Linked DNA regions of Arabidopsis thaliana. Each later gene encodes a partner of the first gene's protein in a complex. Each region holds a gene or a part of one and is shown in the gene's direction. Other genes may lie near its edges. The genes, in order: COP1, HFR1, UVR8 and STO.

Region 1 (7,658 bases):
TTGATCGCTTGCAAGTACCGGAAGAACTACCACCATCAGAGACACCACAATCACTATAAACTTAACAAGACTGCGTTAGTTAGAAGATCAACAAGATCTATCTTGACACCTTGAAACGATTAAATATCAATCCAGATAAGAGGGACATACCGTTTTGAAAATGACCCTTCCACGATGACTAGAAAGTCAAATTCGTTCTGTGGTAGAGGACCAACAGTATATAAAGTCTTCTCTCCATCATATGCCAACCTTTTACCATCAAGATCAGAAGAGTAAGTCTTGAATAGTTGGTCCATAAGCTTTCTGCTTATTCCTGTCCCATCAACAGCATCACCGTTTTCTGTGGTGATACTAACCTGCAAAAAAGGTACCGATATGTCAAACATCTCACACACGCACAGACACTGATGAAAGAATGCAGAAAAGTGACTAATGAATCTTACAGTGTACTGGTAAAATACTACATCCGGCTGTCTCACAGAAACATTAAAGTGATTGGTGCACAATTCTATTGGGTTGCCTGTGGTTCCAACCCCACGTCTAGTTGTGATGTCATAATCTCGATGGCTGGGCTGTTCTGGTTCTATACTTATGGGTGACAGTGGCAGAGATGAAGATGTCTCCATCCTTCCAGGGGAAAATAATCTGCAAGAGAGAAAAGTGGAGGTTGGTTACAGTGTGCAAAAACCAGTCCAAAACACAATGCTCAGGAGACTAAGAAAGAAAAGAAAAACACCAAATTAAGAAGACAACTCCAAAAGGTAAAAAGCTAAAAACTTTACCACCATTGTCGTTCTAAGATTTTAATTTCTGGGCATATCCTGCTAAATCGCGAGAAATGGTATAAATTTCAGATGAGGAACAAACTTAATCTGGAAAAAAAATGGCACCTTTAACTGTTGGTCGCCTTCAAAATTGAGAAACATTACACAAACAAAAACTCATTCGAGTGTGTCATACAGTAGCATAACAAGACTTTCAAGAGAGAAACAACGCAGCCAAAACCATACAACTATCAACAGACAAATCCTAGCTTCATGCAAATTCTCCGAAAGAGAGACAAAAACAAAACCTAGCTCCGAATCAACAACAATTACAACAGCGATATCTAGTGAAAACAGCGCACCTTTGAAAGAATTAAGAAGAGGATTTCTAGGGTTCCGGTGAATCAAAGAGAGGAATTTATTTAGCTCATTTCTCTTCTCCGTCACAGTCTCTTTGGGTTTCCCAGACAAGCAAAAGAATGGAGGGAACGTTTCCAGTGATGGGAAAATTAAAATATATTTCACTTTTCAGTCATTTTTTACAGTAACAAAATTTAAGAACTGAAATAAAAATGGTTTATTCCAAAATTATTAAACCGAATCCTTCAAAACTTATTCTATTTCTAGGGTTATGCTCCGGTTGAATGGATTGAAATTCCCAACTTATTCATTTCAAATAGTAAGAAATAAAATGAATGGTTGTAAGAAATTAAATTAGACCGTCGTGGTAATTGTAAGAAATTTCATTGAACCGGACTATAAATTAGAAGCCGGATAATTAAACCGTACCAGCGCTTGGAGAAACGCCAGACACACGCGCGAAAAGAAGCGCGTAGACCAGAACGTGTAGGATTTGTCACCTCAGAAAAGAACCACGGTGGATCCCACCACACCTCAGCCTCACTCCTCCTTCATCTCCGACGTCATACCCAAACCACTCTTTTCTCACAATTCCGATTTTCTCAAAAACCAAAATCACAATCGAAGAAATCTTTTGAAAGCAAAATGGAAGAGATTTCGACGGATCCGGTTGTTCCAGCGGTGAAACCTGACCCGAGAACATCTTCAGTTGGTGAAGGTGCTAATCGTCATGAAAATGACGACGGAGGAAGCGGCGGTTCTGAGATTGGAGCACCGGATCTGGATAAAGACTTGCTTTGTCCGATTTGTATGCAGATTATTAAAGATGCTTTCCTCACGGCTTGTGGTCATAGTTTCTGCTATATGTGTATCATCACACATCTTAGGAACAAGAGTGATTGTCCCTGTTGTAGCCAACACCTCACCAATAATCAGCTTTACCCTAATTTCTTGCTCGATAAGGTTTCTTTTTCTAATTTTACTCGTAATTTGTGTTTGGTCCTTAGCTTTTCAGTTCAAGTTCGGGTGTTGCTTGTTTGAGTCTTAGCTTGTAATCAAGTTTGGTTTTTGTCGTGGTTTTTGTGGAAACAAGTAAGCTAGCTTAGTCTTTAATCGATTCCAATGAACCTTGCCATTAGATTTTCTTAGGAAGGTTTTGTTTTGTTTTTGATGTGTAGTATTGTGGTAGGATTCTGCTTATTACAGCTAAATAGAAGCATGTTTATAGGAATGATAGTGTATTGAAACTATTTATCACTGGAATGCAGCTTATTATATGACGTTTATGTATCAATTGTGTAGCTATTGAAGAAAACTTCAGCTCGGCATGTGTCAAAAACTGCATCGCCCTTGGATCAGTTTCGGGAAGCACTACAAAGGGTCGGTTCTTAACAAGCTTTTTATGTTTCATTTTTTCCTCTTTAAGTTTGCTTTCTCAGAATTATTATTGGAGTAAAAAGCAATTCTAAGTCATTTCTTTTGATCAAATATTGACTTCCTGCGTTCATACTTAGACAGGGTTGTGATGTGTCAATTAAGGAGGTTGATAATCTTCTGACACTTCTTGCGGAAAGGAAGAGAAAAATGGAACAGGAAGAAGCTGAGAGGAACATGCAGATACTTTTGGACTTTTTGCATTGTCTAAGGAAGCAAAAAGTTGATGAACTAAATGAGGTTGGTTTGTCTGAATTATGGAGTAGCATTGGGCTACCTATTGATAATTATTCTCGTTGCTCTTCATTCCATTTGCTTCAAAATCTTCACTGGGTTTAGACTGTATAGTTGTTGTAAAAGAAAGCCATAAACCATGTTTCTATCAATAGATGTATGATCTATCCAACTATTCATGAGACGTATAACCCCTGAATGTTAGATGAGATCTCAGAATATTATAGAATTCTGTCATTTATGTCTTCTCTATCTTAATGTAGGTGCAAACTGATCTCCAGTATATTAAAGAAGATATAAATGCCGTTGAGAGACATAGAATAGATTTATACCGAGCTAGGGACAGATATTCTGTAAAGTTGCGGATGCTCGGAGATGATCCAAGCACAAGAAATGCATGGCCACATGAGAAGAACCAGATTGGTTTCAACTCCAATTCTCTCAGCATAAGAGGAGGAAATTTTGTAGGCAATTATCAAAACAAAAAGGTAGAGGGGAAGGCACAAGGAAGCTCTCATGGGCTACCAAAGAAGGATGCGCTGAGTGGGTCAGATTCGCAAAGTTTGAATCAGTCAACTGTCTCAATGGCTAGAAAGAAACGGATTCATGCTCAGGTTTGTTCCTCCTTGTCTACTCAACATCTTTATGCTGAAATGGTAAAAGGACAATGGCATTAAAGTTTAAGATATTTGTCTATTAAAGAATAAGAATAATTACTACAATTAGGCCCCAGTGATTGTGTTACAGTTACTACCATGCCTAGCTACTCAGCTCTTGGTCATCTGGATTGACAGCTCGAGAAATTGAAAGTGGTTGTGGGTAGAGGATGAATCTTCTTACGGAAAAGATACCTTAGATTAAGGCCCACATTTTTGGTGGTCTTTATAAAAAGCCGATTGGACTTCAGAGAGATTGATTTCGTATTGTTTGCACGTAAAAGTAGAAATAGCTTTCTGGACTTTATATCTACTGCTTAGTGATAGTAGCCGCTTCTTGTCTCTCTGGTACTATAGCAACAAAAAGTCACTATGTTCTCTAGACACACTAACAGTTCTGTGAATACTATGCAATCACAATTATAGTAGTTTTCTTGAAAAAACCTGCATGGTCCTTTAATCTCTCTGTAACTGCTTGTTGATATATGCACAGATTGCCTAATTCTGTTAAAGTGTCTTGTCTTGTAGTTCAATGATTTACAAGAATGTTACCTCCAAAAGCGGCGTCAGTTGGCAGACCAACCAAATAGTAAACAAGAAAATGATAAGAGTGTAGTACGGAGGGAAGGCTATAGCAACGGCCTTGCAGATTTTCAATCTGTGTTGACTACCTTCACTCGCTACAGGTAGAGGAGTGACTATCCCTTTTCAATCGGTCTAGCCGTACATAAAGAGTGTTTTCGAATTAGTTGGGGTTTTAATTGCACTCTTTATTCACAGTCGTCTAAGAGTTATAGCAGAAATCCGGCATGGGGATATATTTCATTCAGCCAACATTGTATCAAGGTGAATTTTCTATTCCTTGTTCGTTGATCAGATAACAGATGATAGGTACCAAAAGAATGTCTCCGAATATATCAAAATAGACCCTTAAGTGATTAAGTTTTGTTTAATGTATTGATAGACGCAATTATTACTATGGGATTCGTTGCTGTGTAATTCTAAGCCAGTGAATAGTATGAAGATAAAACTGCTGACATGGTAGGGAGAAGGTTGTGTAGTCAGCAGGCCACTTGAGGAGAATTTTCTAAAAGATGGAACACTATGTTATCCTTATCCATGTCGGAATATATAGAATCGGTTTGCGATCTTTTATATGAAAGTGTCTCTTCTCAATGAAGAGACGAAAGATATATATTTTTAGTTTATGGTCTGGGAGCTCCGGGGCTCATATCTTTTTCTCTCTATGTGCTTTGGTTTATGGTCTTCCATAGTTTACATGCTTTATGCTTTGCCTGGACCTCTAGTTTACCTGTAATTTGATGTACCATCTTACTGATTTTGCTGATGAAGAGGGTGCTGTTCCTTTTCAGCATAGAGTTTGATCGTGATGATGAGCTGTTTGCCACTGCTGGTGTTTCTAGATGTATAAAGGTTTTTGACTTCTCTTCGGTACGTTCATAAATCTTGGAGTGCATTCAATTACATACCAATTGAATCTTCTTGTCCAACCTTATGCTTTTGTGAAACTGATCATGCATCTCAATTCTAAGAAAGCTTCGTTGATAATGAAACTAAGTTATGCTCTTGGGAAATTCTAGCTTTGATGCAAGATAGCCATTTTACACTTTTGTATTGCGTAGAAGAATATAAATCAAAGCTAATCAAATTTTTGGTTTTAATTTTCTGTTTTATCCAATGGACCACGCTGAACTGATTGATTATCGGCTGCTACTTTTCAGGTTGTAAATGAACCAGCAGATATGCAGTGTCCGATTGTGGAGATGTCAACTCGGTCTAAACTTAGTTGCTTGAGTTGGAATAAGCATGAAAAAAATCACATAGCAAGCAGTGATTATGAAGGAATAGTAACAGTGTGGGATGTAACTACTAGGCAGGTGAGTACTTTACCCAAAGTATCTAACATCGCACCTATAAGATATTCATCTCATGAATTCTGCAGCGTATTTGAATTTTTATGTAAACTGAGGCAGAGTCTTATGGAGTATGAAGAGCACGAAAAACGTGCCTGGAGTGTTGACTTTTCACGAACAGAACCATCAATGCTTGTATCTGGTAGTGACGACTGCAAGGTAAATATCTCCATATTTTCCGTTATCACCTTTCATCTCACATTGGGCTATGTCTCATATAAAAAGAATACTACTTTTAGATATCTCCTAGCTCTTATAACTAACTTGGTCACGGATTTGTCTAATTTCTACGACGAACTAAAGAGACATATTGTGAAACAAAACTGGAGAATCTCCTACTTGCTCATTAGTACATTGTGTTCTCATGAATCTTTTCTACTACTTCTTAAACTTTTCTTTGAGTTGTTCTTCCCAACTTGGGGATTGGTCATATGTAGCCCTTCCTACATTGAATGTTTGTTGGTTTCTTAAATTTTCAGCAAAATTTTCCCCTTAGTGTATCTGTGGTGGCTATACATTAGGAAACAAACGAAACTGGACACTTGTATATAGTAGATTTTACCTTGAAATTTTGTAGCTTCATTTGTCCAAATTTAATTAAACGTTATTGAAAAATTCACTGGATTTCTAATTCTGACAAAAGCATATTATACCAGTGGGCTCCTTTTAAGTCAATTCACTACTAGTTAATCCTCAACCATGCATTATTGCATCTGTTAAATCATGTCTCATAGATTAACCAATTGTGCTGTGTGTTTGATCCAGGTTAAAGTTTGGTGCACGAGGCAGGAAGCAAGTGTGATTAATATTGATATGAAAGCAAACATATGTTGTGTCAAGTACAATCCTGGCTCAAGCAACTACATTGCGGTATATACTTCCACGCCTCAACTTTGCATCTCACATTTATTCGCTACCACTCATGATCAGCATGACACTATCACACGTCTCTAGATATAATCTTTAATTAGATAGAGAGACTTAGACGTTTAAGCCTGTTGACTTATCACAGGTCGGATCAGCTGATCATCACATCCATTATTACGATCTAAGAAACATAAGCCAACCACTTCATGTCTTCAGTGGACACAAGAAAGCAGTTTCCTATGTTAAATTTTTGTCCAACAACGAGCTCGCTTCTGCGTCCACAGATAGCACACTACGCTTATGGGATGTCAAAGACAACTTGCCAGTTAGATTACTGCCCGAGCCAATCTTGCAGATTCAGTCAAAAAGAAAAACTTGTCTTGACTATGTTGTTCAATTTTACTTTTCAGGTTCGAACATTCAGAGGACATACTAACGAGAAGAACTTTGTGGGTCTCACAGTGAACAGCGAGTATCTCGCCTGTGGAAGCGAGACAAACGAAGTATATGTATATCACAAGGTTCACAAATCCGAAACCTCTGCTCTCAACTTTAGCATTTTTCATTCATGATTCACAGATTTTCAACCTGTCGTTGCTCAAGTATTTTAAAATGTGAATGATGCGATGCAGGAAATCACGAGACCCGTGACATCGCACAGATTTGGATCGCCAGACATGGACGATGCAGAGGAAGAGGCAGGTTCCTACTTTATTAGTGCGGTTTGCTGGAAGAGTGATAGTCCCACGATGTTGACTGCGAATAGTCAAGGAACCATCAAAGTTCTGGTACTCGCTGCGTGATTCTAGTAGACATTACAAAAGATCTTATAGCTTCGTGAATCAATAAAAACAAATTTGCCGTCTATGTTCTTTAGTGGGAGTTACATATAGAGAGAGAACAATTTATTAAAAGTAGGGTTCATCATTTGGAAAGCAACTTTGTATTATTATGCTTGCCTTGGAACACTCCTCAAGAAGAATTTGTATCAGTGATGTAGATATGTCTTACGGTTTCTTAGCTTCTACTTTATATAATTAAATGTTAGAATCAAAATGCGGTGATGTGAATCGGTCATGAAAAGTCAAACCTTGGCTTATACAAAAGGTCCGACCCATGCAATAAGTCATTAGTATGTTCATGTAGCAAGATCATTGAAAAAAAAAAATCATTTTATAATGTAAAATTCATGAGAATTGACGAATTTGTGTCATAAGTGAAATTATATACAATTACTTAACACCTCTAAATTAACTCATAACAAAGTGATTGTGTGACACATTTTCATAAATTGGTCGTATCAATACTATAAGAGTAACCCTTTTAAATTTGGATACGCAACTAGGGATGGCATGATGTCTATATAAAATCATGCATGCTTTGTGAAGTTTAAATCACATGGCCAAACA
Region 2 (4,726 bases), on another chromosome or scaffold:
AGAGACATTTGATATTTCCATGGCGATCGCTACGAAAAGAAGAAGTAGAGGCCTGTTCTCAGTTTTGTCTAACATGTTTCACTCCTCATTGATGGGCCCTTAATAAATTCATATTTGGGTTAATAACATTACATGGGCTAACCTAAAAGCCCAGTAAAGATAACGTTCTATTTGGCAAAAAAAGAAGAAGATAGATAGATCATAGATGCTGCATTTAATGTACAACAAAAATAAAAATCGTCAATCAACCACTAGATACACAAATAGTACTTCGTATAGTATATGATTCCAACCAAAACGGTGGGAACAAGAGAAAAATATTAAAATAAGAATCAATAATGCAAAGTTTTTCCATAATATCAAATAGATTGAACAGTGGGAAGTTGTAGATTGGAACGTATATTCCGAGAGGTCGTTGTCGTGAAGGAGATTGGAAACCTATGTAGTGGCTGTGGTTTTGCTTCGTCGCTCGCTAAGACACCAACAAAATATAAAGTACCCAAGTGTCAGACATAGCACCATGTCCATCACGAGGGCATCACGTGAACACGCCTTTTCTTCTTCCTCTCTCTCTCTCTTTTTCGATTTTTTTCAGGCCCATTTGATTCAACGCTACAAAGTTAACATTCATTAGTCAATTGAATAATAATAATTAGTATTTTTGTTCTACTAATTCGAAATTAGAATTTGATACTGTTTTTTTTTTTTTTTGATTGTTGATATTTAGTAACCAGGTCATTTTTGTTTATTCAGAATATGTTGTAATTATTGGAGTTTTTTTTAATTAAGGAAAATAGTGTGGACCTTTTTTATCAAAGATAGTAATAATGTGGACCATCGCACCTGCTCGGTGTATGGTTGATGATGACGTGACTCTAAAATTCCAATAAATGTGTCGTGGGGTTACAGAAAACAAAAAAAACTGATTCGTTATAGGATTGGTTTAGAGCCCACAACCCACGTGGGATTTTGGATAAAACCCTAAATGAATTCTTTTTTCAGGAATCCATAAATGGTCATGAAATGAAATGCATTCTCAGGCTGGAAATAATCGACCATTATATTATTGCACAAAAAAGTGAACTCTAGTATCATAACTCTGAAATTATTATGATTGCTGGTTACTGAATTTTGTAAGCCTTTCATAATAACGAATTTACCAATTGGGAGATCGAATAATCTTATCGTTGTTACAGACGATATTTTTTTGTCGATTATATTATGAAACTTGTGGTAGTCAACCTTTTTTTTTCCAAACGGAGACGTCATCTTTTTGTTTTTATATTTAGAGATGATCTGACCAAAAATAAACAAATAGACATCCGATATTTTACATTGTTTTATATATATATAAAGATAAAGCTTAATGACGAGTATTCAATGATAAACGATAAGATTACGGGAAAAATAATTAAACGGATAAAAATGGCCCTACCCGTTGTGCATTACAGTTCTTGGTTAAGAAATACTATTAAACTGTCTCTCAAATCTCAATATATAAATGAATACATTCTATACGTACAAAGATAAATTTATCTCTATGTTCATGTGTCAAAGTGGTAGTGAATCTAGTGACGTTATTGATTAATCAAGATTACTTTTATCTTTCTGTGCAAAATTTCAAGATTACTCTAAAGTCGATATATGCTACTATGACGTAGTTTTGGGACAATTACGTATAGAATCATAAAAACAATAAGCAGAATAATAATCCATTTAAGTACATTGTGAATTTGTGATAATGGAATTATTTGACAATACTTTTCCAAAATAAAAACTAATTTAATTACTGTATTAATTATTTTAGTAAAACAATATTTTCATTACAATGTTTGTTGTGAATCCAAAAAAGTATTGTTTCCAAAGAACTCAAATGACATCAATATGTCTATAATAACCTCGTGTAGCTGTATGTTAGAATCTAGCCGAATTGTTTTATTGTTGTCGGTGTACGCAACAAACGAACCACACATACTTTGAAACGTGGCACAATATAAGTGGGTCACCAATGTAGCTGACAACTATACCATCTATCTGATCCGATCGCTCTTATAACATAAGCGTATGGGATACCATTTTCTCGGACAAAGCTGAAATCCCTAAAGAAAAAACACTTCTCCAAACTTTTCATCTCCGATATCTCTTTAACTAACATGTAAGTATAATTAAACAGGAGGTTTCAGAGTTTAGGTTTCTTGCCTTGTTATTCTCTTTATTTATTTCTTTAATAATTTATCAATGATTTGTATCGTAAACCCTAATAGTTTACTACTTTTTTCTTGGCAGGTCGAATAATCAAGCTTTCATGGAATTGGGATGGAGAAACGACGTCGGATCACTTGCTGTGAAAGATCAGGGCATGATGTCAGAAAGAGCAAGAAGTGATGAAGATCGTCTAATCAACGGTCTAAAATGGGGCTACGGCTACTTTGATCATGATCAAACTGATAATTATCTTCAGATTGTTCCAGAGATTCATAAAGAAGTAGAAAATGCGAAGGAGGATTTATTGGTTGTTGTCCCTGATGAACATTCTGAAACTGATGATCATCATCATATTAAAGATTTTTCAGAGAGATCAGATCATCGATTTTATCTGAGAAACAAACATGAGAACCCCAAAAAACGTCGTATCCAGGTCTTAAGTAGTGATGTAAGTCGATACATAGATATATTTTCATGTTACCTTATGTATTATCATTTTTCACTGTTTTTAATTTTTTCTTTCTATAAATAAAATTAATTAATTTAGGATGAATCGGAGGAGTTTACAAGAGAAGTTCCTTCAGTTACTCGAAAAGGTTCCAAGAGAAGAAGAAGAGACGAGAAGATGAGTAATAAGATGCGTAAGCTACAGCAACTCGTACCTAATTGTCACAAGGTTGGTGTGTATATAGATCCTTCTATATAATGTTTCAATTTAACTATTGAGTGTCTAGTCTTTTCCGTATAAGTTTCCGCTACTTCCGTTGCATATATGAAGAAATCTTGCCTTAAGTTTCCAATTCTGATAACGGGTGGTGCTTTTTTACGGTTTTCAGACGGACAAGGTTTCGGTTCTCGACAAGACCATAGAGTATATGAAAAACCTTCAACTTCAACTTCAGGTCTATATTTAACTTTATTCACTATTTTTATTTCACACTTTATTCAGTGTTCTTCTTCCATATATTTGAATTATTGAGGCTTGAGGTTTTAAGTGTTTATCTAATAGTCTGAGTTTTTTTTTGGTTAATTTAACTAGTTGACATAAACTGTTCTTGGTATTCGATCTGACTCGCCAACTTATGAGATATGGATTATTGTTTTACAATATGGGTTTCAAATTGATCAAACAAATATAGCCACTTTTTGGTGTTTAGTGACGAAAAAAATGGAATGATATATAGTAGGCAGTAGATAACCTAGATGGTGAAGTCTATAGAATTTCTTTAATATTTCGAATTCATCTCTTTTCATGTGATTATTTAGTGCCAACTAAATGTTTTATATTTTATAGAACTATGTACCCATTTTGATCATTCGAATATGTATATGTGCTATTTATATTCAGAAACTAAGTTGTAATCAAAGTTGATGTTATAATTGCAGATGATGTCAACAGTGGGGGTGAATCCTTATTTTCTTCCGGCGACATTAGGATTTGGAATGCACAACCACATGCTGACGGCAATGGCTTCGGCTCACGGCCTAAATCCGGCGAATCACATGATGCCATCGCCGCTAATTCCGGCGTTAAATTGGCCATTACCACCGTTTACTAATATTTCATTCCCACATTCATCTAGTCAATCTCTATTTCTTACAACATCATCACCAGCTTCTTCTCCTCAGTCTCTTCACGGTTTGGTTCCTTATTTCCCAAGTTTCTTGGATTTTTCTTCCCATGCGATGAGAAGACTATGATAAGTAAGTAGCTCGATAAAAGTTTATGTGAAATGATCGTTGACTAATTAAGAGAGAAAAGAGTTCCAAATTAGGACAGTTTGTGTGAACCATTTGTGTCATATACTTTTTTTTCCGGGTGGTTTTGTATATTAATAATAATCAATAAGTTAAAACTTTTTGTATAAATTCTTGCATGTAACAATTTTTTCATTTATCTGATATTTTGTAAAATATATTGAGACATGCTTATAAGAGCATTGAACGTAGGAACAAGATTTCCCTGATTCTTAAGCGTCTCAAACGTTTACACTTGGTTACATGCATCCCAACTAGCTTTATCTTCAGCATCTCAAATTCAGGACCAGTGGGTCATACACTATGATAATGTTAATGTACAAAAAGTAACATTAACTTACCTCTGCACACTGCATGTTACTTAGAAGTTAGGATGTGGCTCTGCCAAATATAGGGCCGGATGTATGAGAAAAGATCAAAAGAAGAAATGAGGAAACTTGACTTCGAGAATTATTAATCACTTTCTTACACATCAATTATTGATTTGCGTTTTGTGTTTACACATCGCTTTTCCACAGTTGATATATTCATTTTTTTGTGGAAAATTCAAAATGTTTTCTGTTTTAAAGTTGTGACTTGTGAGTAATAATCTCTTTTCTTTTGTTTTCTGAGCTAGGTAAATACACACACAAGAAATATTACGTCCGAAACTCGAGACACAATTCATATTTATATATAAAAAAAGAAAAATTCTACACGCACAGACACAGGCGCACACTTATATACGTATTATTTTACAAATACATATCCTTTTGTCTCAATA
Region 3 (7,375 bases), on another chromosome or scaffold:
GATTGCTCATTATTTGCAAACATAAAATGGAATCAAATGTAAAGAAAAGAGATGAAGAAAATCATTTGTAGAATTCACATTTAAGTTATGTATGGAAGATGAAGAAATAAGAACCATCTTAAATCTCATGTAGTTCTTAGTTTCTTGGTTCCTACACGTCTTATTTAAACCTAAATCTTGTAAGATTTTGCTCTGTTTTGTCAGGTTAGCCTAAATCTTGAGAGGTCAAACTTGCAGTAACTTTCATTGTATAGAATTGCTTTTAACTGAATGATAAATCGAGTAGTAGATTAGTCCAATGGAAGTTTGTGGATCAAGTTATGTGTCTGTCGGCATTATAGTTTTCCTTTGAAATATTGACACATTACTAGAATCTTATCCAACAAAAAATTGTGTGGTTATGAAAATCCTAAGTAACGAGACAGCTTATTAAATGCCGAATTTGGTAGCAATTTGTTCAGATGAATGTATGTCTTCTTGTAAAAGACAGTATGAAGTGGAGGTTGATGCTAACTATCTTATGGTTCCTTATTGCACTTTGAAGCATTTATTGCAATTGTTTTCGGTTTTTTCTCTTGAGTGGGCTAAACTAATAATGGTCTGTTCTTTCTCTAAAGAGAGAAGAATTCGACAGGAGCGTGAAGCATCTTCATTCGCAAATATAACACATTAAAGCTACCTCTAGCATCATCTGTGTGATTCTCTCCAAGGTCATTCGTTGTCTGTCACGGGGCATCTCAAGTAATAAAGCTTAAAGTTAACTGTCTTTTCAGCCAAATAGTTTCATCATCTAAATATTCACATGATCTTCCATATTTCATCACCGATTATGGTTACAACATTTTTGCAAACCCTAAAATTTGTGTTATCGCCAAACTTGACCCTTATACCGGAACCCATGTGGGTGGGTGTTGATTTTTACTGTTTTGTAATTTGTTCATCGACAATCATTGACATGTACTCACCGCAATGTTTTTTCTTTCCTAGTTTCATGTGCATATATGTCTCTAAACAGTAATTGTTTAGCACTTCATGTCAAGCTTAAATTATTATAGGTGTCTTATCTTGTCTCTCTAGTATTTTCTGTTGAAGTCATGTGCATTAAATTGTATATAGTACTTCCAATGGCTTTCATATAATTTCCATTTTTCCACAAATTGTTCGTAATGATGTTTATTTAACAAGATTATAAAAGATAATGCAACAAATTTGTGTGATGAATGATGAGATGAACCCATTTGAAAGAGGTCGCAACAAATGTCAACATTAGAGACCATCTTGATCTAGAGTTTTGTCTCGTTGACTTTAATGCCAAAATTGGACAATACATATAATGCATGTATCAGGCAATGCAAAAATATCTTCATTCATTTAATTTTCTTACTATAATAGATGTCACAACTTCCCTCACTGACAAGCATATAATGTTGGTTTTATCTCAATGTAAACAACCTTTTAGTTTCACATAAATGTTAGGTCGAGCGAGGTGATATATTCGTTCCAGATCGGATGAAACAAGTAATTCATCGATGTTACCTTTATCCATATGTATATGTAAGATTATGGGTTTTAGGTAATCTAGTAAGTACTACTAAGTAGTATCCGTATGTAATTTTTTATTTATTTTTATCCGTTATGTATAATTTCTTTGGCCGTTTTCGCAAAATCTATATTTGGATGTTTTAGATCGTGAATTGATATATCTTAATTTGAATATTTAGGTATTCATATATTTTGAATCTATAGTTGACCTGTTGACCATGTATTTTGATTTGAATATCTCGCTCGATCGATAGAAGATTTTTTTTTGTTTTTGTTTTGTTGATAGTAGAATCTTCAAGTTGTAATTTAACAAAAAAAAAAAAAATCAAGTTGTAAGTAGACCGTATATCTGTATATTTCCATATGTAGAACCATGCATTTTGAATAATTGAATAAAATAACATGTAGCAAGACGTATCTTCATATGATAATCAGAATCATAATAAAAAGACAAACTGTACACCATATTGTAATCCAGGTTTAATTTGACCTCTTTGAAAAACTAAAATAGCTGAACTGAATATTTATAACTAAAAAGACAAATTGGATATGTCACTTTGGACTATGAAACTCAGAATTTTTTTTGACTAACGTGTATACTTTCACACGTGTGCATGACTAAAAACATATGATTAGGCTCTTACGATCTATGCGCCTTACACCTGTGAATGATGAACACATAAAACACAAGTTACGATCTAGAATGTCATGTGTACTGGCTTAAATCTACTTATGTGAAGAGGTAAATGAAATGGTCAAGAAACAAAAAAAAAAAGAAATGGTGAAATTATGAAAGTATAAAACTTTACCGGTGAGGTCCGTATTTGGATTTATTAAGTGAAGAGGGACCCTTTTGCAATTAAAGCCTGTACGACAAAAAAGAGATTTACTGTACGGTTAAAACAAAAAATAAAAAAACCAGCAAAAGTAAAAAAGTCAAAAAGCAGATATATGACATGTGCAAATCTCCATCGCGCCTTTATTACCATCTACCGCTTTCTCTCTCTGTCTTTCCTTGTTCAACCCTCGAGAGATTACGGATAGTGAAAGAGAAGCTACAAAATTTCCCAATTTATCAAAAAATAGAAATTTCTTACTTTTTTCAAAATTCATTTCTCCCCAAAAAAAATATCTTGTGAAAACTGCAACTGTGATCCATGGCGGAGGATATGGCTGCCGACGAAGTTACGGCTCCTCCTCGTAAGGTTCTTATCATCTCCGCTGGTGCTAGCCACTCCGTCGCTCTTCTCTGTACGTCTCTCTTCTTCTTCGCTGTTTTTTTTCCTTTTCTATTACGGACTCAAATAATCACCGGAATTGTGAAATCCGCTGCTTTAGTAGGCTGTGCTCTTCGCGAATTCTCTTGATCTGGCCTTTAATCGAGTTTCCCTTACTTTCGTCGTCTACTAATGAGTAGTTTTATGTTTTGATTTTGTAGCTGGTGACATTGTTTGTTCTTGGGGTCGAGGAGAGGATGGACAGTTAGGTCATGGCGATGCAGAGGATCGACCTTCTCCGACTCAGCTTAGCGCTTTAGATGGCCACCAAATTGTTTCCGTTACCTGTGGTGCTGATCACACTGTTGCTTATTCACAATCAGGCATGGAAGTCTACAGTTGGGGATGGTTTGTTTCTCATCATTATCTTCTTCTTTGCTGCTGAATCAATTGCTCTTCAGTCTGTTTGATATATTCGGGATGAGATGATGACCACTAGTTCCTCTCTAGATTTTTGTGTAGAAAACAGTAACTAATTATACACTCATTTGCACATATTTTAAGCCTCGTGTTCTCTAACCTTTATGTGTACTTTGCAGGGGTGATTTTGGGAGATTAGGCCATGGTAACTCAAGCGACTTGTTTACTCCGCTACCAATCAAAGCATTGCACGGTATTCGGATCAAGCAGATTGCTTGTGGGGATAGTCATTGTTTGGCTGTCACTATGGAAGGAGAGGTCCAGAGGTATTTTCTCTTTGTTATTGTTCTTCTCCTTATGTGCAATCATTTACAGTTTACATCTCAGCTCAATTAGATGAATTTCATCGGAATTTGATAATGTCGATTGCGTCCTGTGTCATTTCTATATATCTTGGTTATTGTGTACATTGCCTTTTAAACGTTTTGTCTGTCTTGTCTTGTTTTCCAACATATCTCTTTGACTTCTGTTTATACAGTTGGGGCCGCAACCAGAATGGTCAACTTGGTCTGGGGGACACCGAAGATTCTCTAGTGCCTCAGAAGATTCAAGCCTTTGAGGTTTGTATCACTAAATATTCTTCTAACATCTTTTTTCGTTGTAGTTTCCTCAACTTGCCAAATACTATGCTTCAGAATTGGGTCAATGTTGGGTCTATTTCTGCAACTTGATCTTCTTAAACATATGACTGTTACTAGTTAAGGGTCCACATCTGGTGAAGATGTCTTCAGAATCATAATTTAAGTTACATAATTTTAGGAGTGGTAGATACTAAATTGGATGTCTATGTGTTATACTATCTGCAAAACACAGATAGAAGGTAGGATCTTATTGATAATTTATCGGACTAGGTAAACTAGAAGATTAAGTGATTAGAGACCCTGAGTTTATGTTGTTAGTTTCGCTGATCTCCATTGTTACATCAACACTTTAAACTTGTAATGGGTGCAGGGAATACGAATCAAAATGGTTGCTGCTGGTGCAGAACACACTGCTGCAGTTACAGAAGATGGTGACCTCTATGGATGGGGCTGGGGAAGATACGGAAATTTGGGATTAGGTGACCGGACTGACCGCTTAGTTCCTGAAAGAGTTACCTCTACTGGTGTAAGCTAGAAGACTCTTGTTCTATAATTTTTGTTTAAGCACCTGCTACTTGTTTAAACTTGCATTTGAAGTTCAGTATACGTGAAAGAAATCGTGAATAGCTCAATATGCACTGCACTATTCTGGATTAGCTGTCTATATTGATGGAGTCACACGTATATGCAGTCTAATTTCAGTTGGTGGGTGTCAGGGAAGTGACCATAAAACTTTTAGAATGATCAAAGTTTGGTATCCTGAATCTGCACAGTTCATGAAATGAAATTTAGTTCATATAACATTGATATCACGCAACCTCACCTTTTTACCAACTTCTATTTCTGCATTTTAGTCCCTCAATTTTTTCCTTAATTCTCTTTTCATTTCGACTCACTTGACTCTCGTTTTCCTGGTTGTAACTACAATTTTAGGGTGAGAAAATGTCAATGGTTGCTTGTGGATGGCGGCACACAATATCAGTTTCCTACTCTGGAGCATTGTATACTTATGGATGGAGCAAATATGGACAGCTAGGACATGGAGACTTGGAGGATCACCTTATTCCTCACAAACTGGAAGCACTGAGCAACAGTTTTATCTCCCAGGTTTCACTTAGGCCTTATAAATCTGTCTTGAAATACAAATTTGTACATCTGAAATATCCAACATATGGGATAGCAATAATATGTTTTTCGAAAACTTTCTGACAACTATTACCTACTGAAGAAGACTGGCTTCATTGTATGTACTTCTGTTGGTTTTCTTCTTCTGTTCGACATCTTTTGGACTTACTGTTCGTTTCTTTTCCAGATTTCGGGAGGTTGGAGACATACAATGGCATTGACTTCAGATGGAAAACTATATGGATGGGGTTGGAATAAGGTCTAGAATGTCTTGCTTTTTTTTTTTTTTTTTCTGGCCTATATTTCGTAGAAATGTATAGAACACCTATTTTCATCTACACATTCACTGATATTTGCATTTAGTTGCTTTATGCTGTTAAGGAGTGATATGCATTCACTTAGATGTTATTTTAAGAAAACAACAATGCATATATTGGGTAACTTTAGTAACTCATCTTGAATAAAACAAACTTCTAATTGTCTCTCTTTTAGCCTGCAGTTTGGACAAGTAGGAGTCGGCAATAATTTAGATCAGTGTTCTCCTGTGCAAGTGCGATTTCCCGATGATCAGGCATGTTATCCCTAAAAAAGTTTAACGAGAAAGCTCGTCCCAATGTTTTACCGGCTATATAATCATATTAATAAGTTCATGTCTCAATTCGCTGTTTTCTTTTCCAATGCACACATATTGTGGAATTTCACAGAAAGTAGTTCAAGTCTCATGTGGATGGAGACATACCTTGGCTGTCACTGAAAGAAATAACGTGTTTGCTTGGGGTAGAGGTACAAATGGACAGCTCGGCATTGGAGAGTCGGTTGACAGGTAAAAGTGTGATCATCTAATCGCTCATGAATCAATGTTTTCCACTTAACATATCTTGGTGTTACGAACAGAATATGAAAATTGGCCAGTAAGATCGTTGTTTCCACCAAAATCATTGCTTTTCAATCCCACTCACTACCTATCTTGATAATGTGAAATGGATATTTGGTTTGGTGTTTATAGGAACTTTCCCAAGATTATAGAGGCACTCAGCGTCGATGGAGCAAGTGGACAACATATAGAATCTTCTAATATCGATCCATCTTCAGGTATTTAAACAATACCACTAGTTAAAACGATTTCTGTAAACGACTCAACAAGTGATTAAATGATTCAACTTTTGCATTGCTTTGTTACCAGGGAAAAGCTGGGTGTCGCCTGCAGAGAGATATGCAGTTGTTCCTGATGAAACGGTAAGCCTTAATTTTGTTAATTCTACTAAACTTTATATCCAATACGTAAACTACAATGAAAGCAAATGGCACAATTATATCGGCTTAGAACCAGATTTTACTGATTAATCATTGCTGCACAATTATACCTTGCTCTGTCAAGATCGTGGATTGTTTTCAAGGATGAAATCTATGTGTGTGATTTTGAATTTGGTTGTGTGTTAGGGCCTAACGGATGGTTCAAGCAAAGGTAATGGAGGTGATATCAGTGTTCCACAAACTGATGTCAAGCGTGTACGAATTTGAGCCTGAGTCAATTCCGTTTTTTTTTTACTTCCGGTTCTTCCGTTGGATTCGAAGGTTTTTCAGTGATCTCTTTTGGGTTGAGGTTTGTACTAAGAGTACGTCTGTCTAGTTTGGGATTGTACTTTTTGTTGTTGTTGTTAGTTTGTAACTTGTGATGCTTCCCTCCCCCTAGCTCTCTTATTACATGGGCGTTGTAAACTGTGTGTACTACTACTACTAGTCTCTAGGGTATGTACTTTTTTTTTCCTCACCATAATAATACCTTCTGGTTCTATATCTTTCATTTCTTAAAAAGTTTTCTGTTTTTTCCTTCAACCATTATACAACTTATGTTTTAAGAGAATTTTCTTTTTGTCTTATTTTTTTACCGCCTATGTTTGAATTCAAATATGATATGATTGATAGTGACCCGCTGAGTTTTAGAGTATTTGAATTTTGGAAAAAAAAACAATTTTATCAATCAAGATCAAAACTTAAGAAGAACAGTGATCACAGATTAACAAGTTGAACTTCTCCTTTTTTATCAAAGTGTGAAGCGCAGATGAGAACGAGAGTAGTATGGGTATTTTAGTTTACAACTTTTGGGTAGGTTAGCCTTTAGGCCCAACACACAATGCATGTTTCGTATTTCTATATATTCTAGTCTCAATACGAAGAGTCTAGAATACGAAGAATTTCTAATGGACTAAGTGATGGATATGTCAAAAAGAAAAAAAATTGATCCTTCATCATCCGCCAACCTAGTTATGCTGCCTAATATATTTGGCGTTTAGTGAAAATTTTCTATTGGGTAAAACTTATGTGGGTGATTCTCTTTAAAGCAAAACCATCCATATTGCTCTTTTAGTGTTTCTCTTTATGTGTCGGGTTTCTTTCCCTTAAATTATTCCAAATCGATGTCACTTAGAT
Region 4 (4,014 bases), on another chromosome or scaffold:
TAGATGAGGAATAGATAGAGCCTCAGACATACATGGTTCTGTTTTCTGATCACATGTTTTGGTCTTCTTGATGGCATATTCTTGTTTGCTATATTCACTAAGTAGAATCCATGAGATTGTTTTCCACACTCAGTTTTACTCAAGGATTTAAGCTCTGTGTTGCAGGTTTTCGCAAGATATGGCTGGCTCTGTTGGTGAGGAAACTGAGCCAGAATGGATTAAGAGAGTGAAATTAGAGGGAGCTGTTCCATGTCTTAAGCCAGACGACAACTGCAAAAATGGTTGGACGACGCCATCTCCTGACACATTTATGGTTAGAGGACCAAAGTATTTCTCTGACAAAGTTAAGATACCTGCTGGTGATTTCCTTCTAAAGCCTCTGGGTTTTGATTGGATTAAAGGTCCTAAAAAGCTTTCTGAGATCCTGAGTTATCCAAGCAGCCGAATCAGGAAAGTTATCGATGAGGAGTTTCAAAAAGATGGAACTAAGCCTTTTGTCTGGGCATTCAATCTCCAGCTTCCTCACAAAGACAATTACAGTGCTGTGGCTTACTTTGTTACCACAGAGCCTATCCTTGAAGGCTCCCTGATGGATCGGTTTTTGAAAGGAGATGATGGGTTCAAGAAATCGAGGCTTAAACTGATTGCAAACATTGTCAAAGGCCCTTGGATTGTTAGAAAAGCTGTTGGAGAGCAAGCGATCTGTGTGATTGGACGTGCACTCTCTTGCAAATATGTTTCAGGGGAAAACTTTGTGGAGATTGATGTCGATATTGGTTCTTCAATGGTCGCTAGTGCCATTGTTCATCTCGCATTTGGCTACGTTACTACATTGACAGTTGATCTTGCGTTCCTCATTGAGAGTCAGACCGAAGCAGAGCTTCCAGAAAAGCTACTAGGAGCTGTGAGATTCTCTGAGCTGCAGACCGAGTCAGCCACATCTATCGAACTGTCCTCAAGCACCAGTAATGACCAGTGGGATCAAACTACCTCAGAGCGGTCGAGCTGGTGGAAATCGATTGGAAATGGATTCTCTAATCTGCTTAATCAAGATACGGCCAACATGAACAATACTTCTCATGGGGACATCCAGAAGGATGAACATGTACAGAAGCAGTAAGTGTTTTGGGAGTTATTAACTTCACAATTCTTTGAATTTGTTCGATTTCATTACCAAAAAACAGAAACAAAAACTTGTCAATTCTTTAAAAAAACCACAGATGTATAGATTGGTTTTTACTAATATGGATGGATATGTGATATCCAACAACAATTCTTGTGACCAACCATGCCTAATTTTGTATTGGTGTCTTTTAGGATCATTCTTTTTCTCGAACGGGCTAAGCATTCATTTCTTTGTTAGTTAACATGCCAGTATATTTTTAATGATTGCATTAATCGTTTTTATGATTGAGAAAACGAAAAAGTGAAAGAAGAAGAAAAATCTGATCGAATGGTACATATTAACATAACATGTCGTCATTCCAAGGAATCAATTCACATGTCATTTTCAAGATTACGTGTAGTCGTGTAATATTCTCTGATTTGAGTAATACCATTACCCAACTCTTTCTTTCTAGATGAAGCCCATTTTTGTATACAAATCTTTCTTGAAATCGTAAAAGTTCACGAGACTTGAAATTCGAGCATATCATATAAAAGGAGCGTAAAAGTCTAGTGGTGGTGGAATTATTGAAGTTAGTTTATTAGTCAAAATTAATGTGTTTTGACTAGATTAGTAAACAAAACACAAATCTCTACTACGTGAGAAAATAACAAGAATATAAAATAGCAAAGTGTGAATATAATAAAAATATCTAAAGGTAGGAGAGATGACGAGAGGAAGAAGGAGAGCCACAGAAAAAGAGTGGGACCCGCAAGACCTTGCTGTAAGAAGCAGAGTGTTTCCTTTTGATACGCAGAATAATGAAAACAAAGCAACAAGCAAGATTCATCAAATCCTTATCTTCTCTCTTTCACTCACAACCAATTGCTCATCCCACCTACTTGTTCCCCACAAAACACTCTCTCCCTCTTTGTTCTTTCATCTTCTCTAAGCTCTTTCTCTGAACCTACGCTTCTGCTAAGCTATTCTAAGAGAAGCCAGACTAGCAATAAACCCTTCATTTTAAGCATTCTGTTTCCTTCTTGAGAAACCTAGATATTTTGGTTTCTTGTATCCGGTGATGAAGATACAGTGTGATGTGTGTGAGAAAGCTCCGGCGACGGTGATTTGTTGCGCCGACGAAGCTGCTCTCTGTCCTCAATGCGACATCGAGATTCACGCCGCTAACAAACTCGCTAGCAAGCACCAACGTCTTCATCTTAATTCCCTCTCCACCAAATTCCCTCGTTGCGATATCTGCCAAGTAAGTTTCTCTACAGATCTCATTAGATCTTGTCAAATATTTTATGGATTCGTTAGTTTGAATCTGCTCTGTTGCAAAGTTGTGATTTTATAGATCTTGTAGCAACTGTTGTATGTATGCCTTGTTGTTTAAGACTAGGGTTTGCTCATTATGTTCTTATGACTTGTAGGAGAAGGCAGCTTTCATTTTCTGTGTAGAGGATAGAGCTCTGCTTTGCAGGGACTGCGATGAATCCATCCACGTGGCTAATTCTCGATCTGCTAATCACCAGAGGTTCTTAGCCACTGGGATCAAAGTAGCTCTGACCTCAACTATATGTAGTAAAGAAATTGAGAAGAATCAACCTGAGCCTTCCAACAACCAACAGAAGGCTAATCAGATTCCTGCTAAATCCACAAGCCAGCAGCAACAACAACCTTCTTCTGCTACTCCACTTCCCTGGGCTGTTGACGATTTCTTTCACTTCTCTGATATTGAATCCACCGACAAGGTAGTGATGAGAATTGAGATTCAATGTTAGATCACTTTCTTTGCAAGAAGCTTTTATTGACTTCTTGGTTTAAATTGAGCAGAAAGGACAGCTTGATCTTGGGGCAGGGGAGTTGGATTGGTTTTCAGACATGGGATTCTTCGGTGATCAGATTAATGACAAGGCTCTTCCTGCAGCTGAAGTTCCTGAGCTTTCTGTTTCGCATTTAGGTCATGTTCATTCATACAAACCTATGAAGTCAAATGTTTCACACAAGAAGCCGAGGTTTGAGACCAGATATGATGATGATGATGAGGAACACTTCATTGTCCCTGATCTTGGCTAAAAAGCTATATGTAATCTATGTGTAGACATTCTTCAATGTAAAAGAACAAACAAGAAACCTATCTGCATGTGTGGAGTTAATGTCATATACATTTTAGTTTTGTCTTAAGTTGTGTAAGATATGTTGAGAGCTTATAACAAATGTCTGTGTTTGAGTTTTGTTCATACCTCTTGAACATGGTCTATGCTTAATGCTTTGATGCTACAAACTTGATACTAAATGTGTTCTCTCTGTTCTTTCTTGGTTTTTTTTTGTTTGTTCCTGATTATTACTCTGTTTTCAAAGCCTTGAGAAACAATCCTCAATGCAATTTACGGTTCCAAACAACTACGAAAAACTCTTTGTTTTCTATTAGCAAGAAAAGCTCAGAAGTCACAAGTCTGTTTTATTCAATACAATGAAGAAGAAAAAGAAAAGACAGAGAGAGAACCAAAAAAAAAAAACATTACAAATGATCAGAATCATCAGGAAGAATCCAGAACAGATTATTACAATAGACAAGGAGAATTCTGGACTCGAAGAGAAGTTTTACTATTCTACTTGTATCTTAAGAAAACTGAGAGCTTCACAATCTGTAGGAAGAGCTGGAATGGCTCCCTTTTTAGTCGTCGTGATTGCTCCACAAGCGTTTGCAAATCTCAGCACTTTTCTCAATCTCTCTTCCTCCTAAGAAACGAGAAAAATCAGTAAATATCATCAACAATATTCAGTTGATTGAATAGACACACAATATCAATGGGAGTTAACCTCGAGTACAGATTGATCATCAACAATCTGGTTTAGAAGCGCGCCAACAAAAGAATCACCAGCTCCAGTAGTATCCACAGCGT

Evidence for each region.
Region 2: the proteins of COP1 (region 1) and HFR1 are in contact, whole or in part, in a crystal structure (PDB 6QTV), measured with the Arabidopsis thaliana proteins. Residues at the interface, in NP_180854.1 of Arabidopsis thaliana: Ile373 (codon at 4,284), Ser375 (codon at 4,290), Val391 (codon at 4,865), Lys422 (codon at 5,248), Leu423 (codon at 5,251), Ser424 (codon at 5,254), Tyr441 (codon at 5,305), Arg465 (codon at 5,473), Trp467 (codon at 5,479), Asp484 (codon at 5,530), Ala506 (codon at 6,202), Asn507 (codon at 6,205), Cys509 (codon at 6,211), Ala526 (codon at 6,404), Asp527 (codon at 6,407), Lys550 (codon at 6,476), Ala551 (codon at 6,479), Ser553 (codon at 6,485), Thr568 (codon at 6,530), Lys593 (codon at 6,690), Asn594 (codon at 6,693), Phe595 (codon at 6,696), Phe646 (codon at 6,960); in NP_563650.1 of Arabidopsis thaliana: Tyr57 (codon at 2,453), Leu58 (codon at 2,456), Gln59 (codon at 2,459), Ile60 (codon at 2,462), Val61 (codon at 2,465), Pro62 (codon at 2,468), Glu63 (codon at 2,471), Ile64 (codon at 2,474).
Region 3: the proteins of COP1 (region 1) and UVR8 are in contact, whole or in part, in a cryo-EM structure (PDB 7VGG), measured with the Arabidopsis thaliana proteins. Residues at the interface, in NP_180854.1 of Arabidopsis thaliana: Ile373 (codon at 4,284), Ser375 (codon at 4,290), Gly390 (codon at 4,862), Val391 (codon at 4,865), Ser392 (codon at 4,868), Arg393 (codon at 4,871), Cys394 (codon at 4,874), Lys396 (codon at 4,880), Glu416 (codon at 5,230), Ser418 (codon at 5,236), Arg420 (codon at 5,242), Ser421 (codon at 5,245), Lys422 (codon at 5,248), Leu423 (codon at 5,251), Tyr441 (codon at 5,305), Glu442 (codon at 5,308), Ile444 (codon at 5,314), Thr452 (codon at 5,338), Arg453 (codon at 5,341), Gln454 (codon at 5,344), Ser455 (codon at 5,443), Glu458 (codon at 5,452), Glu460 (codon at 5,458), Glu463 (codon at 5,467), Arg465 (codon at 5,473), Trp467 (codon at 5,479), Asp484 (codon at 5,530), Glu496 (codon at 6,172), Asn507 (codon at 6,205), Cys509 (codon at 6,211); in NP_201191.1 of Arabidopsis thaliana: Arg41 (codon at 3,007), Asp44 (codon at 3,016), Asp77 (codon at 3,115), Trp94 (codon at 3,166), Phe97 (codon at 3,366), Asp129 (codon at 3,462), Arg146 (codon at 3,725), Gln148 (codon at 3,731), Asn149 (codon at 3,734), Ala181 (codon at 4,221), Glu182 (codon at 4,224), Trp198 (codon at 4,272), Arg200 (codon at 4,278), Tyr201 (codon at 4,281), Trp233 (codon at 4,784), Arg234 (codon at 4,787), Lys252 (codon at 4,841), Tyr253 (codon at 4,844), Trp285 (codon at 5,145), Arg286 (codon at 5,148), Trp302 (codon at 5,196), Lys304 (codon at 5,202), Trp337 (codon at 5,674), Arg338 (codon at 5,677), Tyr407 (codon at 6,158), Ala408 (codon at 6,161), Val409 (codon at 6,164), Val410 (codon at 6,167), Pro411 (codon at 6,170), Asp412 (codon at 6,173).
Region 4: the proteins of COP1 (region 1) and STO are in contact, whole or in part, in a crystal structure (PDB 6QTU), measured with the Arabidopsis thaliana proteins. Residues at the interface, in NP_180854.1 of Arabidopsis thaliana: Ile373 (codon at 4,284), Ser375 (codon at 4,290), Val391 (codon at 4,865), Leu423 (codon at 5,251), Ser424 (codon at 5,254), Tyr441 (codon at 5,305), Arg465 (codon at 5,473), Trp467 (codon at 5,479), Asp484 (codon at 5,530), Asn507 (codon at 6,205), Cys509 (codon at 6,211), Ala526 (codon at 6,404), His528 (codon at 6,410), Lys550 (codon at 6,476), Ala551 (codon at 6,479), Ser553 (codon at 6,485), Thr568 (codon at 6,530), Lys593 (codon at 6,690), Asn594 (codon at 6,693), Phe595 (codon at 6,696), Phe646 (codon at 6,960); in NP_172094.1 of Arabidopsis thaliana: His241 (codon at 3,158), Phe242 (codon at 3,161), Ile243 (codon at 3,164), Val244 (codon at 3,167), Pro245 (codon at 3,170), Asp246 (codon at 3,173), Leu247 (codon at 3,176).

The regions. Positions count from the first base shown.
Region 1 is NC_003071.7:13,976,231-13,983,888, forward strand, and holds COP1 (Transducin/WD40 repeat-like superfamily protein), read left to right. Parts: upstream 1-1,650; 5' UTR 1,651-1,769; coding exon 1,770-2,087; intron 2,088-2,426; coding exon 2,427-2,504; intron 2,505-2,638; coding exon of another isoform or gene 2,639-2,642; coding exon 2,643-2,798; intron 2,799-3,055; coding exon 3,056-3,406; intron 3,407-3,976; coding exon 3,977-4,134; intron 4,135-4,228; coding exon 4,229-4,294; intron 4,295-4,821; coding exon 4,822-4,900; intron 4,901-5,190; coding exon 5,191-5,346; intron 5,347-5,442; coding exon 5,443-5,541; intron 5,542-6,147; coding exon 6,148-6,252; intron 6,253-6,394; coding exon 6,395-6,574; intron 6,575-6,659; coding exon 6,660-6,770; intron 6,771-6,881; coding exon 6,882-7,052; 3' UTR 7,053-7,379; downstream 7,380-7,658. Other genes in the region: AGO6 (Argonaute family protein), read right to left, coding at 1-53, 151-356, 444-626. UniProt on the Arabidopsis thaliana protein: E3 ubiquitin-protein ligase that acts as a repressor of photomorphogenesis and as an activator of etiolation in darkness.
Region 2 is NC_003070.9:465,113-469,838, reverse strand, and holds HFR1 (basic helix-loop-helix (bHLH) DNA-binding superfamily protein), read left to right. Parts: upstream 1-1,958; 5' UTR 1,959-2,153; coding exon 2,154-2,155; exon of another isoform or gene 2,156-2,286; coding exon 2,287-2,653; intron 2,654-2,752; coding exon 2,753-2,881; intron 2,882-3,041; coding exon 3,042-3,107; intron 3,108-3,591; coding exon 3,592-3,906; 3' UTR 3,907-4,223; downstream 4,224-4,726. Other genes in the region: AT1G02350 (protoporphyrinogen oxidase-like protein), read right to left, coding at 1-21. UniProt on the Arabidopsis thaliana protein: Atypical bHLH transcription factor that regulates photomorphogenesis through modulation of phytochrome (e.g. PHYA) and cryptochrome signalings. Suppresses the transcriptional regulation activity of PIF4 by forming non-DNA-binding heterodimer.
Region 3 is NC_003076.8:25,553,912-25,561,286, reverse strand, and holds UVR8 (Regulator of chromosome condensation (RCC1) family protein), read left to right. Parts: upstream 1-1,787; 5' UTR 1,788-1,871; intron 1,872-2,302; 5' UTR 2,303-2,699; coding exon 2,700-2,793; intron 2,794-2,980; coding exon 2,981-3,167; intron 3,168-3,358; coding exon 3,359-3,505; intron 3,506-3,717; coding exon 3,718-3,799; intron 3,800-4,190; coding exon 4,191-4,346; intron 4,347-4,753; coding exon 4,754-4,927; intron 4,928-5,132; coding exon 5,133-5,204; intron 5,205-5,444; coding exon 5,445-5,516; intron 5,517-5,649; coding exon 5,650-5,768; intron 5,769-5,951; coding exon 5,952-6,037; intron 6,038-6,128; coding exon 6,129-6,181; intron 6,182-6,385; coding exon 6,386-6,466; 3' UTR 6,467-6,871; downstream 6,872-7,375. UniProt on the Arabidopsis thaliana protein: UV-B specific signaling component that acts as a UV-B photoreceptor and plays a key role in establishing UV-protective responses in plants.
Region 4 is NC_003070.9:1,827,832-1,831,845, reverse strand, and holds STO (B-box zinc finger family protein), read left to right. Parts: upstream 1-1,862; 5' UTR 1,863-1,980; coding exon of another isoform or gene 1,981-2,080; 5' UTR 2,081-2,157; coding exon of another isoform or gene 2,158-2,186; coding exon 2,187-2,369; intron 2,370-2,538; coding exon 2,539-2,859; coding exon of another isoform or gene 2,860-2,889; exon of another isoform or gene 2,890-2,941; coding exon 2,942-3,184; 3' UTR 3,185-3,506; downstream 3,507-4,014. Other genes in the region: AT1G06050 (ENHANCED DISEASE RESISTANCE-like protein (DUF1336)), read left to right, coding at 179-1,120; AT1G06045 (uncharacterized protein), read right to left, coding at 1,981-2,080, 2,158-2,324; AT1G06030 (pfkB-like carbohydrate kinase family protein), read right to left, coding at 3,716-3,850, 3,932-4,014. UniProt on the Arabidopsis thaliana protein: Acts as a negative regulator of seedling photomorphogenesis and light-regulated inhibition of hypocotyl elongation. BBX24/STO and BBX25/STH function as transcriptional corepressors of HY5 activity, leading to the down-regulation of BBX22 expression.